Lonchura striata: one gene and its partner. The protein of the gene in region 1 interacts with the protein of each later gene in a biochemical or structural test. Links are inferred from orthologs where the notes say so. Each region holds a gene or a part of one and is shown on either strand. Other genes may lie near its edges.

Region 1 (7,670 bases):
CCACCCTAACCCTCCTCCCCACAGACGTCCTGGGGAACATCATGAAGCACCTGACGGCGCGGCGCTCGCGGGCTCGCGTGGTGGAGAAGCTGCTGGGGCTGGGGCTGGTGGCTGAACGCAAGGAGCTGTACAAGAGACGCCGGAGGAAGAGCCAGGGCCCCAGTGTCGGGCAGGTACGGGGGGCTGGAGGCTGCTGGGCTGTGCCCTGGGGGTGCTGTCCCACCCTGGGGGTGCTGTCCCACCCTGGGGGCACCCAAACACTGCTGGCTCCCACAGGCTGACGCAGGCATGCCAGCCGTGCCAGCCCAAGACAGCTCAGGAGAGGATGAGGACAGCGAGGAGGAGGAGGAGGAGGATGAGGATGAAGCAGAGGAAGGCCACGTGGAGGTGCCCCAGGAAGGGGCTGGGCAGGACCTGGCACAGCGCCTGCATCGGGAAGGTGGGCGAGGGAGCCCCGAGCTGGGCTGGGCCGTGGGGCCGGACCCTGTGTCACCTCCTGCTGTCCCCAGGGCTGGCCGGGCCCCTGCGGTGGCTGCAGAACAGCCTGCGGCGGGCGGCGGGGGACCGCCAGGAGGACGGTGAGCGGGGCGGGGGGCGGCCGGGGGGTTCTACGGGGTCGGGGTCCCGCTGACGGCGCTCCCGGCCCAGGCGTGTCCCACCCGGTGCCGCTGGTGCCGCTGACGGAGGAGAACGAGGATGCCATGGAGGACCGGCGCTTCCGGGCCCTGCTGCGGCAGCTGGGGCTGCGGCCCCCCGCCAGCGAGCAGGTGAGGTGCCCACCCGTCCCTGTCCCTATCCGTCCCTGTCCCCATCCATCCCTGTCCCCATCCATCCCTGTCCCCGTCCATCCCTGTCCCCATCCTCGTCCCCATCCATCCATGTCCCCATCCATCCTTGTCCCCATCCCCGTCCCCATTCATCCCTGTCCCCATTCATCCCTGTCCCCATCCCCATTCATTCCTGTCTCCTTCCCTGTCCCCATCCCCATCCCCATCCATCCCTGTCCCCATCCCCATCCATTCCTGTCCCCATCCCTGTCCCCATCCCCATCCATCCCTGTCTCCACCCATCCCTGTCCCCATCCCTGTCCCCATCCCTGTCCCCATCCCCTGGCTCCCAGCACAGCCCTGCCATGTCCCCCCTCTCTGCCCAGGAATCCTTCTGGCGCATCCCGGCCGCCCTCACCCCGCAGCAGCTCCGGCGTGCAGCCGCCTCCATCGCCCACCGGGGCCCCTCGGGGTCCCCCCCGGACCCGTCAGAGCCGCCCAGCTGCCCCCAGGACCCGGCTCCAGGTGAGGGGTGGGGCTGGGGGGGGTGTGGGACCCCCAGGTGTGGGGCTGGCTCTGAGCCCCCCTCCTTGTGCCCCTCAGCAGAGCCGCTACCGGCGGGGCTGGGATCAGACTCGGAGAGGTGAGAGCCGACTTCCCTTCTCCGTTTGTGGGGTCCTGGTTTGGGGGGGTCTTCTCCCTGCCTGGGGAGGGGATTTGGCCCCCCGCATGTGGGGCTGAGCGGTGCCACCCTCTGCAGCGAGGAGCCCGTCCCCGTCCCCAGCCCAGTGCAGCCGCGCACCAAGAGGCGCCGGGAGCTCGCCAGCGAGGACGAGGATGAGGATGGTGGTGGGAGCTCAGGTGGGTTCAGCCCCTCTGCTTGCTTCTGAGGGCTGAGGGTCCTCTAGGTGTCTGCTGGGTCGGGGTTCTGCTGTCCTTGTCCCCTTTACCACACCCCTGGGGGGCTCAGCCCTCTCCCCTCTCCATCCATCCACAGGCACCGAGCTGGCCCCACCAGCTCCCCGCTCCGAGGAGGATGAGGAGGAGGAAGAGGATCCACAGCCCCGGGGGAGGCGGAAGCGCATCCGCTGCTTGGAAGAGGAGGAGGAAGAGGATTGAGTGGCTTCCCATACCCTGCCGGTGCCCAGGCCTTGTGCTGTTTTCTGGGCTTTTTGCAGATTTTGTTGGATTTCTGCAGTTTTTCTAGGGTTTCTACAGGTTTTCTGGGGTTTCTGCAGATTTTCTTCTGCAGGTTTTGATGCTGTTTTTAAAGGCTGCACAAGCAACCAGTTTCTCCACCTTCCCCCACTTCCCCTGGTGTCACCATCTCCCTGTTTTACCCCAAGTTTCCTCTTTTTCCTCAGCTGTTGGGGTTTTTCTCCTTCCTAAAACTTTTTAAATCTGGACAGGGCCTAAATAAATAAAAGTGACTTTTGTCCTCCTTGGGTGTGTGCGGGTCTGCAGGGGGGCTGGGGGCTCGAGCCGCGCTGGGCTCAGGGAGCGCCGGGTCCCTGTCCCCGCGCCGGACGTGTCGCAACTCCCGGATAACAGCGGCTATAAAGCGGTCACGGGGCCGGCGCGGCCGCAGCGGCCGGACGGGGCAGGGACAGCGGCGAGCGGGTGAGCCGGGGCACGGGGGAGCCACGGGGGGCTGCGCCCGCGGGGCTCTGACGGGGCTTTGTCCTTCTCCCACCTCCACAGACCCAGAGCCGCCACCATGGCCCGCGTTCTGCTCTTCCTCCCGCTCCTCATCCTCAGCCGTGCCACGGCCGTGTCCATCATCACCCCTGGGCCGGCTGCCGGTCAGCGGGCGCTGCCGGCGCCGGCGGAGCCCGTCGCGCCGCGGGCACCGGGGGTGCCGTGCCAGACCCTTCTCCCCGACGCCCTGCCCGGCTTCTCGCGGCTGCCGCCGCTGCCCCGCGGCCTGGCCCGTGCCGCCCTGGCGCTGGCGCTGCGCGGGGCCGGCTGTGCCCCCCAGGCCGAGGCCGAGGCGCTGGAGCTGGCTCGGGAGCTGGGGACCCCCGCGGCCGCGGCGCTGCTGCGGGGGCTGGCGCGGGTACCGGGCGCCCGGGCGCCGCGGCCGCTGGCGCTGCTGCTGCTCAGCCTGGCACGGCCGGGGGGCTCCGCCTGCGTGGATCCCACCCAAGCCCGCAGCCCCGCGCCCGGCACGGAGCCCACGCCACGCTTGGGCCAGGCCGGCCGGGAGCTGGCGGGGGTCCGGCCGTGCCGCGGTGCCGCGCGGCGGCGGCGGGAGGACGAGGACGCCTGCAGCCCGGCGGGGGAGCGCGAAGCCCACCGGGTGCTGGACTGGGTGCCGGGAGTCAGCGTCTTCTACAACCTGGGCACCAGCGTCTACTTCGCCTTCCAGGGCTGCGAGGCCGTGGCGTCCACGCGGGCGCTGCAGGCCGCCGAGGAGCTGGGCTACGCCGGGCTGGCCGCGCTCACCGGGGGTCTGGGGGGTCCCGTGGCCTTGGGGGTGCAGCTGGGGCTGCAGCCGGGGCTCAAGGCCGGCGTGCGGGCGCTCGTCGGGTACTTCACCTCGGCCGGGGAGCCCGCGCCGGTGCCCACTGCCCACAGCGGCGCCGTGGTCATCGTCTGAATAAAGGCCACGTGTGGCAGCCGGCGCCGGGTCGCTGTTTGGGGCGGCTGGGGACGGATCGATGCGGGGTCACCCTGGCCTGGGGCAGCCGGACCTCGGGCACGTGGTGGCAGCTGGGCTGGGCCTGTCCCTGTGTCCCTCGGTGGCTCCGTGCCTGTCCCTAAAGCCCCACAGCCACTCAGTCCCCGTGGCCACACTGCCTGGTCCCTGTCCCCAGGGCTCGTTCCCTCTCTCCCTCCAGCCTCTCCCTGTCCACAGGGCTCGGTCCCTGTTATCTTGGCCTCCCCCTGTCCCCAGGGCTCTGTCCCCAGGGCTCTGTCCCCAGGGCTCTGTCCCTGTCATCTTGGCCTCTCCCTTCCCCAGGGCTCTATCCCTGTTCCTATAACCTGTTCCTATAGCTCCGTCCCTGTCCTTGCAGCCTGTCCCCCGGTCCCCTGTGTCCCTGTCCCGGTCCCCTGTGTCCCTGTCCCGGTCCCCCCGCCCATCCCGGTCCCCTCCCTCCCTGTCCCGGTCCCCTGTGTCCTGTTCCGGTCCCCTCCGTCCCTGTCCCGGTCCCCTCAGTCCCTGTCCCTGTCCCCCCCGTCCCTGTCCCGGTCCCCCCGCCCATCCCGGTCCCCTCCGTCCCTCTCCCTGTCCCGGTCCCCTGTGTCCTGTCCCGGTCCCCCCGTCCCTGTCCTGGTCCCCCCCGTCCCTGTCCCGGTCCCCCCGCCCATCCCAGTCCCCTCCGTCCCTGTCCCGGTCCCCCGGTCCCCCCCGTCCCTGTCCCGGTCCCCCCCAGTCCCTGTCCCGGTCCCCGGTGTCCCTGTCCCGGTCGCCCCCGTCCCTGTCCCGGTCCCCCCCGTCCCTGTCCCGGTCCCCCCCAGTCCCTGTCCCGGTCCCCGGTGTCCCTGTCCCGGTCCCCCCAGTCCCTGTCCCGGTCCCCCCCGTCCCTGTCCCGGTCCCCCCGCCCATCCCGGTCCCCCCGTCCCTGTCCCGGTCCCCCCGCCCATCCCGGTCCCCCCGTCCCTGTCCCGGTCCCCCCCGTCCCTGTCCCGGTCCCCCCGCCCATCCCGGTCCCCCCGTCCCTGTCCCGGTCCCCCCGCCCATCCCGCGCCGCCGCCGTTCCCGCCCCCGCTCCCCGCTGGCCCCGCCCACTGAGCCCGCCCATTGGTCACACCCATCCACTAGCCCCGCCCACTACGCCCCGCCCCGCGTGACGTAAATTTGGGGAAATGAACAAACGGGCCCAGAGGCGCCGCGCGCGGGGGCGGGGCCTCGGCGCCGCTCTCCGCCAATCAGCGAGCAGAGCTGGCAGGGGGCGTGGCCAGCCCGCCTTCCTGCTCCGGTGCCGGCGGAGGTGGGTCGGGGGTCCCGGGGCACTCCGGGGCGGGACACGGGCGGTTCTGGAGCCCGGGAGAGCCCGGGGAAGGGGGGCACAGGCCGGGGACCCCGGCTGGGGCACACAGAGCGTCCCCTGGAAGGCTGTCGCGCTGGGGCGGGGGGCGGTCAGGGACACCCATCCCACTGGGGGGGACCCGGGGGGCGCCCGAGGGGTCCCATGGGGGTCCGGTCTAGGGGGTCTCTGAGGAGGGGCCTGGGGTGGTGCAGAAGGGGGGCTGGGGGCCCTGCTGTGGGCGTTCTGTGCCCCCCGCCCCGGGTGGGGAGCCCCCCTCGGCTCAGCCCCTGCTCCCACCGCAGGACGCGGCTGCCGGTCCGCGGCCACCCCAGCGGGAGCTGCCGGGGCTGCGGCGGGGCAGGGGGACCCTCGGGACCACCCAGAACCCGAGCAGAGGGACCCTCGGAACCACCCAGAACCGAGCACAGGGACCCTCGGAACCACCCAGAACCTGAGCAGAGGGACCCTCGGAACCACCCAGAACCGAGCACAGGGACCCTCGGAACCACCCAGGACCCGAGCAGAGTGACCCTAGGGATCAGCCAGGACCGAGCAGGAGCTGAGGGACCCCCGGGACCACCCAGGACTGAGCAGAGGGACCCCAGGGACCGAGCAGGAGCTGAGGGACCCCTGGGAGCAGCCAGGACCGAGCAGGAGCAGAGGGATCCTCGGACCACCCAGAACCCGAGCACAGGGACCCTCGGGACCACCCAGAACCCGACAGAGGGACCCCCGGGACCACCCAGGACTGAGCAGAGGGACCCCAGGGACCGAGCAGGAGCAGAGGGACCCCCGGGACCACCCAGGACTGAGCAGAGGGACCCCCAGGACCACCCAGGACTGAGCAGAGGGACCCCAGGACCGAGCAGGAGCAGAGGGACCCCGGTCCTGTGCTGCAGGCAGGTACGTGGGGTGCAGCGGTGCCCACCTGGCGCCCGCGGGTGTTCCTCCGGTCCCGGCGCGGCCGGGGCACGGCCCGGGGCGCCGCTGAGCCGCTGTCCCCGCAGCATGGCGCAGTGGCAGGAGGTGCAGAGCTTGGCCAACACCTACCTGGAGCAGGTGCACCAGCTGTACGCGGGCTCGGCGCTGCCCATGGCCGTGCGGCAGTCCTTGGCCGCCTGGATCGAGAGCCAGAACTGGTACCGGGGGGGGGGATCCGGGGCTGGGGGCGGCTCCGGGGGGCACGGGCGGGGCCGTGCCCGTGCTGAGCCCGTGCTGAGCCCGTGCTGAGCCCGCGCTGCCGCAGGCGCCAGGCGGCCGAGCCGCTCTGCTCGCACGCCCGCATGCTGTTCCACTCCTTACTGGTGCTACTGGGAGAGCGCCTGGGCAGCCTGGGCTCGGACCGCGAGGATTTCATGCTGAAGCACAACCTGCGCAAAGCCCACCGCGACCTCCAGGTGGGCTCCAGGGCCGGGGGGGGCGCGGTGGGGAGGGGTCTCCGCGCCGCGCTGACCCCCCCAAGCCCCTCCGCAGGCCGAGTTCGAGGAGAAGCCGGAGACGTTCGCCAACCTGGTGGCCAACCTGCTGCAGGAGGAGCGGCGGATCCTGCGCCTGGGGCAGGCGGGGGGGCAGGTAGGGCAGGGCAGGGTCCCCCGCCTCACCCCACAGGCGCCGGGGGTCCCGCGGCCGCTGCCCCACACCCCGTGTCTCCCTGCCTAGGGGGGTTCGGCCCCCGCGCCCACCCCAGCCCCGGAGAACGGCCGGGAGCAGCAGATCCAGCAGCGCTTGGGCGACTTCCACAGGGCCCTGCAGGTAACCCCCCGCCACCCCCCGCGACCCCCGCCGAGCCCCCCGGGGGCTGCCCGGCCCCTCCTGACCCCCCTGTGTCCGCAGGAAGCCGAACGAGCCTTCAGGCACCTGGAGGATTTGCAGGATGCCTTTGACTTCTGCTTCAAGGTGCACTACCAGCCAGGTGAGCCCCACGCTGGGGAGATTGGGGGGTGGGCACTGCCCTGCGCCCCCTCCGAGCCCCCCAAAACCCTGAGCCCTCTCCCCTGCCCGCAGATGGGGAGAGGAACGGGGACCCCGAGTACATGCAGGAGCTGAAATCCCTCGAGGACAAACTGAAGAACCTGGACCAGCAGCGCAAGGTGAGGGGGGCTCGGGGCGGCCAGGCTGGGTTTTGGGGGGGCACCGTGCACCCCGCTGAGAGCCACGTCTCCCCCCAGGAGGTGCTGGCTCAGATGCAGCAGCTCCTGAGGCGCAGCGAGACGCTGCAGGAGCTGCTGCAGCAGGAGCTGGGGGACTGGCGGGCGCGGCAGCAGCGCCAGTGCATGGGGGGCCCCGGCGACACCAACCTGCGCCCGCTGGAGACCTGGTAGGGTTGGGGGGCTCGGGGGGCTCGGGGTGGGGGGCTGCAGCCGGACCCCTCCGAGCTCCCTGACCCCCGCAGGTTCACGGAGCTGGGCCAGGGGCTGTTCCAGCTGCGGCAGCTGCTGCGGGCGCTGGGCGACCTGCGGCAGAAGGTGACCTACGCCAGGGACCCGCTGGTGACAGAGACGCCCCTGCTGCAGCAGCGGCTGCAGGAGCAGCTCACGCACCTGCTCAGGAGGTGAGCTGGGCTCTGAGCGGCTGCGGCGCTGCCAGGAGGGTTCTGGGGGTGGAGATCAGGGAAAAATCCTCCCCACCAGGGTGGTTGAGCGCTGGGGAAGCTCTCCAGGGAGTGGTGACGGTCCCGAGGTTGTCAGAGCTCCGGGAGAGTTTGGACAACGCTCCCAGGCACAGGGTGGGATTTTTGGGGTGTCTGTGTAGGGCCTGGAGCTGGGGTCAAGGGTTCTGGTGGGTCCCTCGCAGCTCTGGGTGTAATTCAGGAGGTCGGGGGGGTCGGGGCAGTGCTCTCAGGGATTTTGGGGGAAAGTTTGTGGTGTCCTGTGCTGGGCTGGACTTTGATCCTGATGGGTCCCTTCCAGCTCTGGATGATTCGAGAGGT
Region 2 (6,870 bases), on another chromosome or scaffold:
AACCCAGCAGAGCTCAAACTCCAGCAGGCCTCGTTTCCTCCACCACAGGAGCGGCTTGGGACACACATCAATGGCCACAGGGACACACACCATCCTCCCCTGGCTGCCTGTGCTCTGCAGATAGCACTGCTCTCCTATGGCCAGCTTCTGCTCCTTTCTTCTACCACATCGGTGAGGAAGTTGCATTCAAACTCAGCAGGAGATAAACTGCAAATATTTCCTAGGTTATGAAATGTTTCTAGCAGTGCCAGACTGGTTCAGCAGTTTCAGTTCAAAATGGTTACCCTGAGGTGTGGTTACACCAAGAAATGCCACAATCGTGTTTCCTTATCAGCTGTGGGGCAGGAGGTCACAACGCCCACAGGTCGAGTCTGGCTCAGGCTCAGCAGTGCCCTGCAACACGCTGGGCAATGCCCCCACACGCTGCTGGGGCCAAGCATTGATCCCTCCGTGCTCTGCAGCCCCGGGGCCCAAGCATTGATCCCTCCGTGCTCAGCAGCCCTGGGGCCCAAGCATTGATCCCTCCGGGCTCAGCAGCCCCGGGGGCCAAGCATTGATCCCTCCGGGCTCAGCAGCCCCGGGGGCCAAGCATTGATCCCTCCGGGCTCAGCAATCCCCTGGAGCCAAGCATTGATCCCTCCGTGCTCTGCAGCCCCGGGGGCCTGGAGCATCCCTGTGCTGTGCCCAGGAGAGGCTGAGGGAGCTGGGGCTGCTCAGCCTGGAGAGAGCCCCAGGGAGAGGGACCTGAGCCCTGCATGTCCCTGGCTGTCCCTGTCTGTCCCTGGCTATCCCTGGCTGTCCCTGTCTGTCTGTCTGTCCCTGGCTGTCCCTGTCTGTCTGTCCCTGTGTGTCCCTGTCTGCCTGTCCCTGGCTGTCCCTGTCTGTCCCTGGCTGTCTGTCCCTGTGTGTCCCTGTGTGTCCCTGGCTGTCTGTCCCTGTGTGTCCCTGTGTGTCCCTGGCTGTCTGTCCCTGTGTGTCCCTGTGTGTCCCTGTCTGTCCCTGGCTGTCTGTCCCTGTGTGTCCCTGTGTGTCCCTGTCTGTCCCAGGTGTGGCGAGGGCTGGTCCTGGCCGTTCGGGACGGACAGAGGGGACAGATGTGCAGTCAGGTCTCCGGGCACACGGTTCATTGCGGGGCCCAGCCCGGAGCAGCCCCGAGGGGTGGGGGCAGGATGAGCCAGCGAGAGGGAGCTCCACGACAGGGCCCAAGGGGGCAGAGGGCCCCGGTCTCCCAGGACGCCTCACCGAGGGGGTTTCAGAGGGGGTGCAGAATTCAACTTGGGAACAACGGGATTACGGGTACCTGACACTTGAGGGGAGGGTTACAGGTGCGGGAGGGACTATGCATTTCTGAGGGATGAGACAGAACACTTTATCTGTCCCTTGCATCTGTCTGTGGGTCAAAAAAGGGAGTTACCTTCTACCAGCTACACCGCTGGTCACCAGCTGCTTAGCAACCAAGGTCCGAAATCTCAAAGCTTGTTCTCATCTCAGTTTCACTCACAGTCTCTGTATTTTCCAAATCCTTCGCTAAGCAATCATATTTATAAGGCTTTCTCATTTCATCTTCCCAGCATCCAGGCTCTGCTCCAGGCCCAGCAATGGCCCCAGAGCCACGGGCAGGGGCTGAGCCCAGCAATTCCCTGCACAGGAGGCACAACTCCTGCCCTGGGCAGGGACTGAGCTGGAACAGAGCCCAGAGAGGGGCTGGAGGCTCCTCCCTGGGATATTCCAGAGCCACCTGGACACAGCCCTGTGCCCTGTGCTCTGGGATGGCCCTGCTGGAGCAGGGAGGTGGCACCAAGTGGCCACTTTGGTGCCACCTCCCAACCTCAGCCATCCTGGGATTCCGGGATTCTGGGACCTGAGATCAGCAGGAGTGCTCAGAGTATGTGCAGCACCCCATGACACAAGAGGCAGCAGCAGCCAGGAACATTTTTATCCAAAAGCCAGTCTGTACTCTCCCTGAGAAGCAAAGCCTGTCCTGGTTAACAGTCAGGATGTTGAGGCCACAGACCTTTGTGCCCCAGAGTTTCAAATCCTCCTCTCGGAAAACATTGGTCTGCCCACAGAGGAGTCTGTGCTTGAGGGGGTGGGAAGTGAAAGGTGAACACCTGACTTTACCTCCCCAGGCCTGCAGCTGGGCAGGCCATGGAAAAAAAAAAAAAAGAGAAGAGGAGCTCTTTAATCTTTTAATCTTGTCATCAGAACTTGTGGCTGGCAAAAGGGAGCTGAACCCAAGCCCCAGTTCAGGGGCTGTAACACACTGCATTTAATGCACACTGCAGCATTCAATGGAACATTTCAGAAATGGACAAACTGCAGCGAAAGAGAGAGTTCTCCCTCCCCAGACAATCAGAGAATCGGGGAATGGTTTGGATTGGGAGGGACCTCAAATCCCACCCAGTGCCACCCCTGCCATGGCAGGGACACCTCCCACTGTCTCAGTGTCCAGCCTGGCCTTGGGCACTGCCAGGGATCCAGGGGAATCTGGGAATTCCATCCCAGCCCTGCCCACCCTGCCAGGGAACAATTCCCAATTCCCAATCTCCCACCCAGCCCTGCCCTCTGGCAGTGGGAGCCATTCCCTGGCTCCTGTCCCTCCATCCTTGTCCCCAGTCCCTCTGCAGCTCTCCTGGAGCCCCTCCAGGCCCTGGCAGGGCTCTGAGCTCTCCCTGGAGTTTCTCCTCTCCAGGTTGAACATTCCCAGCTCTCCCAGCCTGGCTGCAGAGGGGCTCCGGCCCTGCAGCAGCCCCGTGGCCCTGGCTGGCCCGTGCCGGGTGTGCCCCGGCTGGGGCTGCGCTGTCCCTGCGTGACACCGGCCGGGGGCTGGGGCGGCACCGCGAGCTCCGGGAGGGTCCCGACATCGCCTTAGGGAACGGCGGCACAGCCCCGGCACAGCTCCGGCTGCCTCCACACAGCCCCGACCGCCCTCACAGCCCTCACACAGCTCCGACACAACCCTCACACCGCTCCGATACCGCCCTCACACCGCTCCGGCAGAGCTCCGGCTGCCTCCACACAGCCCCGACACCGGCCCCACACAGCCGTGACCGCCCTCACACCGGCCCCAGACAGCTCCGACACCGCCCTCAGAACCTTCACATCGCCCTCACCCAGCCCTGACTGCCCTCACAGAGCTCTGACACCGCCCTCACGCTGCCCCTCATACAGCTCCGACACCGCCTCACACCGCCCTCAGAACCCTCACATCGCCCTCATGCAGCCCTGACCGCCCTCACACCGCCCTGACCGCCCCCACAGAGCCCTCACTGCGCCCTCACGCAGCCCCGACACCGCCTCACACCGCCCTCATACAGCTCCGATACCGCCCTCAGAACCTTCACATCGCCCTGGCCGCCCTCACAGAGTTCTGACACCACCCCCTCACATAGCCCTCACACCGCCCTGACCGCCCCCACAGCTCCGACGCAGCCCTCACCGCCCTCAGACCGCCCTCACGCAGCCCCGACATCCCCTCACACAGCCCTGACCGCCTTCACACAGCCCCGACACCGCCCTCACACCGCCCTGATCGCCCTCACACAGCCCCGACACCGCCCTCACACATCTCCGACACAGCCCTCACATCGCCCTCACACCGCCCTGATCGCCCTCACACAGCCCCGACACCGCCCTCACACAGCCCCGACACAGCCCTCACATCGCCCTCACACCGCCCTGATCGCCCTCACACAGCTCCGACACCGCCCTCACGCAGCCCTGATCGCCCTCACAGCTCCGACACAGCCCTCACACCGCCCTCACAGCCCCCACACCGCCCCCACACCGCCCTCACAGCCCCCACACCGCCCTCACGCCGCCCCGACCGCCCCTCAGAGCGCCCGGGCCGCTCCGCGCAGGCGCCGCCGCCGCCGCTTCCGGCAGCGCTGCCCGGGATGGCGGAGCCGGGGGCTGGGGCGGCGGAGCCCGGGCAGGGATGGCCGGAGGAGCCGGAGGAGCCCGGGGATGGACGCACGGAGGAGCCGGAGGAGCCCGGGGATGGACGCACGGAGGAGCCGGAGGAGCCCAGGGATGGACGCACGGAGGGGCCGAGGGGCAGAAGGACGGCGGAGCGGCTGCGGGAGCCGGGCGCGCTCTGGCTGGCGGCCGCGCTGCCGCTGCTCCTGGTCCCGCTGCCCTGCGCAGGTGGGTCCGGGAGCGCTCAGGGAGCGGGGCGGAGCGGGGCTCCCTCCCCGGGAGAGCGGGGAGCGGGCCCGCTGCGCTCCCGGAGCTCCGCGGGGATGCGGGCTGGGATAACGGTGTCGGTGAGGATGTGCTGTGGTGTTTGCAGGGCTGCCGTGGAATCACAGCGGGGTTTGGGCTGGAGGAACCCCAAATCCCACCCAGTGCCACCCCTGCCATGGGGACACCTCCCACTGTGCCAGGCTGCTCCAGCCCCAGTGTCCAGCCTGGCCTTGAGCACTGCCAGGGATCCAGGGGAATCTGGGAATTCCATCCCAGCCCTGCCCACCCTGCCAGGGAACAATTCCCAATTCCCAATCTCCCACCCAGCCCTGCCCTCTGGCAGTGGGAGCCATTCCCTGGGTCTGTCCCCCGTGTCCCTGTGGATTGTCCCTCTCCCCCAGCCCGTCCCACCCATTCCCGGTGAATTGCAGCGGCTGCAGCCGCGGCGTGGGAAAAACAGCTTTGGATTCCCGTTCTTTGGCTTGGAAGTCAGTCTGGCAGAGTCTAAAGGATAAATGACGACATGATAGGTAGAATGGCAGGATGGGGGTTTTGGCTCGCAGGGCACGAGCTTGTGCCTTATCTTTTTTCCTTACACAGCAAAAAGCAACTATTGCCCAAAATCTGTTACTGGAAGAGGAAGGGTTGTGGAGCATCACAAGGGAGGGCAGAGAGACTGTTTATACAGGCAGGGAGTGACAGCACCAGGGACAATGGTTTTACACTGCCAGAGGGCAGGGCTGGCTGGGATATGGGGAATTGGGAATTGTTCCCTGGCAGGCTGGGAGGGGCTGCGATGGAATTCCCAGAGCAGCTGGGGCCGCCCATGGATCCCTGGCAGTGCCCAGGGCCAGGTTGGACACTGGGGCTGGAGCAGCCTGGGACTGGGTGGGCTCTGAGATCCCAACCAGTGGGTGATCCTAACTCTGGAATTCCAATAGCTCTGCTTCAGTGGCCTCTCCTTTTCCCTGTGCTGCTGCTCCAGGGTAAAGCTCTGGCTCTGGGTTTTCTTTGCATATCAAAGTCGTTCAGAGCTTTTTCTGGTGTCACATGTAAGGGGCCTCCTCTTCCTCCTTCTACTGAAATATTGGCTGAAATTTTCCACTGGCTTCTGCACCCAGGGATGTCGTAAGCATCGAGCATCATATGCTCTTCGTGGGATTTCCCCCAACAGCAGGGTTTGCTGTGTTGCCATTTCTTGCTTTCTTCTGTTGCTGAATAGATTTTATTACATAATCATTATTATTTTCAACCATTGTTTACTGATAACATTGCTGAACATCTCCCGAGTGAAGCAGTAATTTTTCTGTATTAGAACAGGTTGGGTTGGTTTAATTTATTGGAATTTGGTAGGGGAAGGAAATAGGCAGATGTGCTAAAAGCATTTCTGGTTTTTAATCTTTTCTTTCTGCAGAAACCTAATGCCTTATAATGGTTTCTCAGAACCAAAGTATCATCATGCTCAAGTGGACAAACAGGAATTAGTTTTAAATGTTTGGCTTTTAATCATTAATAAAATAAGCCAGGAAGAAGTGTTGTTTTTTAGGTTTTTCTTTGCATATCAAATTACTACATAAATCACAAAGTTTCTCTGCTGATTAAACGTCGCTGAGTTTGCTCCTTCCTTCCTGCATAGCTGTTCATTGGGAAATGGATGATTTGTGGAATTAATTTAGGGAGGCAAGCACAAAACTCATTGGAAATAGGGAAATATGTGAAAGGGTGGATGGCTGAATCACCTATTCCTGTGTGTAGGGTGGAACATCCAGAAGTATCCTGAGAAACTGCATCAGTATTCCAGGAAACAAGTGCAGTGATATTGAGCAGGAGAATGTGCAGGGCAAAGACAGGAGGGTTAAAATATCAGACCTGAAAAAAAAAAAAAAAAAAATTCTACACATAAATTACATGACATTGTTTTGTTGGGTGTTTTTAGAAACCCCAAAAGTATCAGGGCACAGCAGTGCTAATTAGAAGGAAAAGATTAGGTCATGTCTCATATAAATTAGGCCTCCATTAAGTAGCCTCATCCAGTTCATTGTGATTTTTTGTTTCACTGCTTCAAGCAAGTTGAACCGTTTGGAAGGGATACAGAAGAGAACAATAAAATTCCCTCAGGAAGCTGGAAATTTGGCTTAAAAGGAAAACTTCAAGAATTGCTGCTGCCATTCAGCTTTCTCTTGGTGGGGAGTTGTGTTGGAAATGACCTTCCTGGGCTATTTCCCAGCTGTACAAAACACTGGCCTGGCTTAAAACACAGAAAATCTTAAAGATCTTTAAAAATCAGAGATTTTAGATCTCTGCTCAGAACACGGATCTGGACAGGATCTTCTTCCTGCTTCCACTCCTCCTTTTTCCCATCTGACCCGCTGAGGTCTAACCAGGAGTACTGGAAAGCCTCATGCTCTATCAATTAAGGATTTGAAAAGACAGGAAAGATACACTAAATATTTAAATTTCTACCCAAATCAAACACAAATACTCTAATAATTGGAATTTATTCGTGTTTTTATCAGTTGGAGTCTGTGGGGCCCTTGTTGTCACAAGGGTTTTGGCTGAATTGTAGCCATCTGTTGGATAAATATCTGGGAAAAAAAAATCTGGTTTTTCCTTTGTTTTCTTATTTTCCAAGCAAACATCCTTTGGCATTCTCTGGGTTTGTCTTACTCTGTCAGAAGCGCAGCA

What was found.
Region 2: the proteins of STAT2 (region 1) and IFNAR1 form a complex in vitro, tested with the Homo sapiens proteins (2 studies listed by BioGRID). The link is inferred for Lonchura striata from reciprocal best matches to the Homo sapiens genes STAT2 and IFNAR1.

What each region holds. Positions count from the first base shown.
Region 1 is NC_134629.1:5,609,455-5,617,124, reverse strand, and holds the start of STAT2 (signal transducer and activator of transcription 2), read left to right. Parts: upstream 1-4,667; 5' UTR 4,668-4,702; intron 4,703-5,043; 5' UTR 5,044-5,644; intron 5,645-5,748; 5' UTR 5,749-5,749; coding exon 5,750-5,880; intron 5,881-5,987; coding exon 5,988-6,138; intron 6,139-6,214; coding exon 6,215-6,313; intron 6,314-6,400; coding exon 6,401-6,493; intron 6,494-6,574; coding exon 6,575-6,653; intron 6,654-6,745; coding exon 6,746-6,831; intron 6,832-6,909; coding exon 6,910-7,058; intron 7,059-7,133; coding exon 7,134-7,292; intron 7,293-7,670. Other genes in the region: protein timeless homolog, read left to right, coding at 25-173, 277-439, 510-578, 649-767, 1,154-1,292, 1,371-1,410, 1,528-1,628, 1,765-1,886; APOF (apolipoprotein F), read left to right, coding at 2,485-3,366. UniProt on the Homo sapiens protein: Signal transducer and activator of transcription that mediates signaling by type I interferons (IFN-alpha and IFN-beta).
Region 2 is NC_134604.1:116,560,137-116,567,006, reverse strand, and holds the start of IFNAR1 (interferon alpha/beta receptor 1), read left to right. Parts: upstream 1-3,855; 5' UTR 3,856-3,896; coding exon 3,897-4,146; intron 4,147-6,870. UniProt on the Homo sapiens protein: Together with IFNAR2, forms the heterodimeric receptor for type I interferons (including interferons alpha, beta, epsilon, omega and kappa).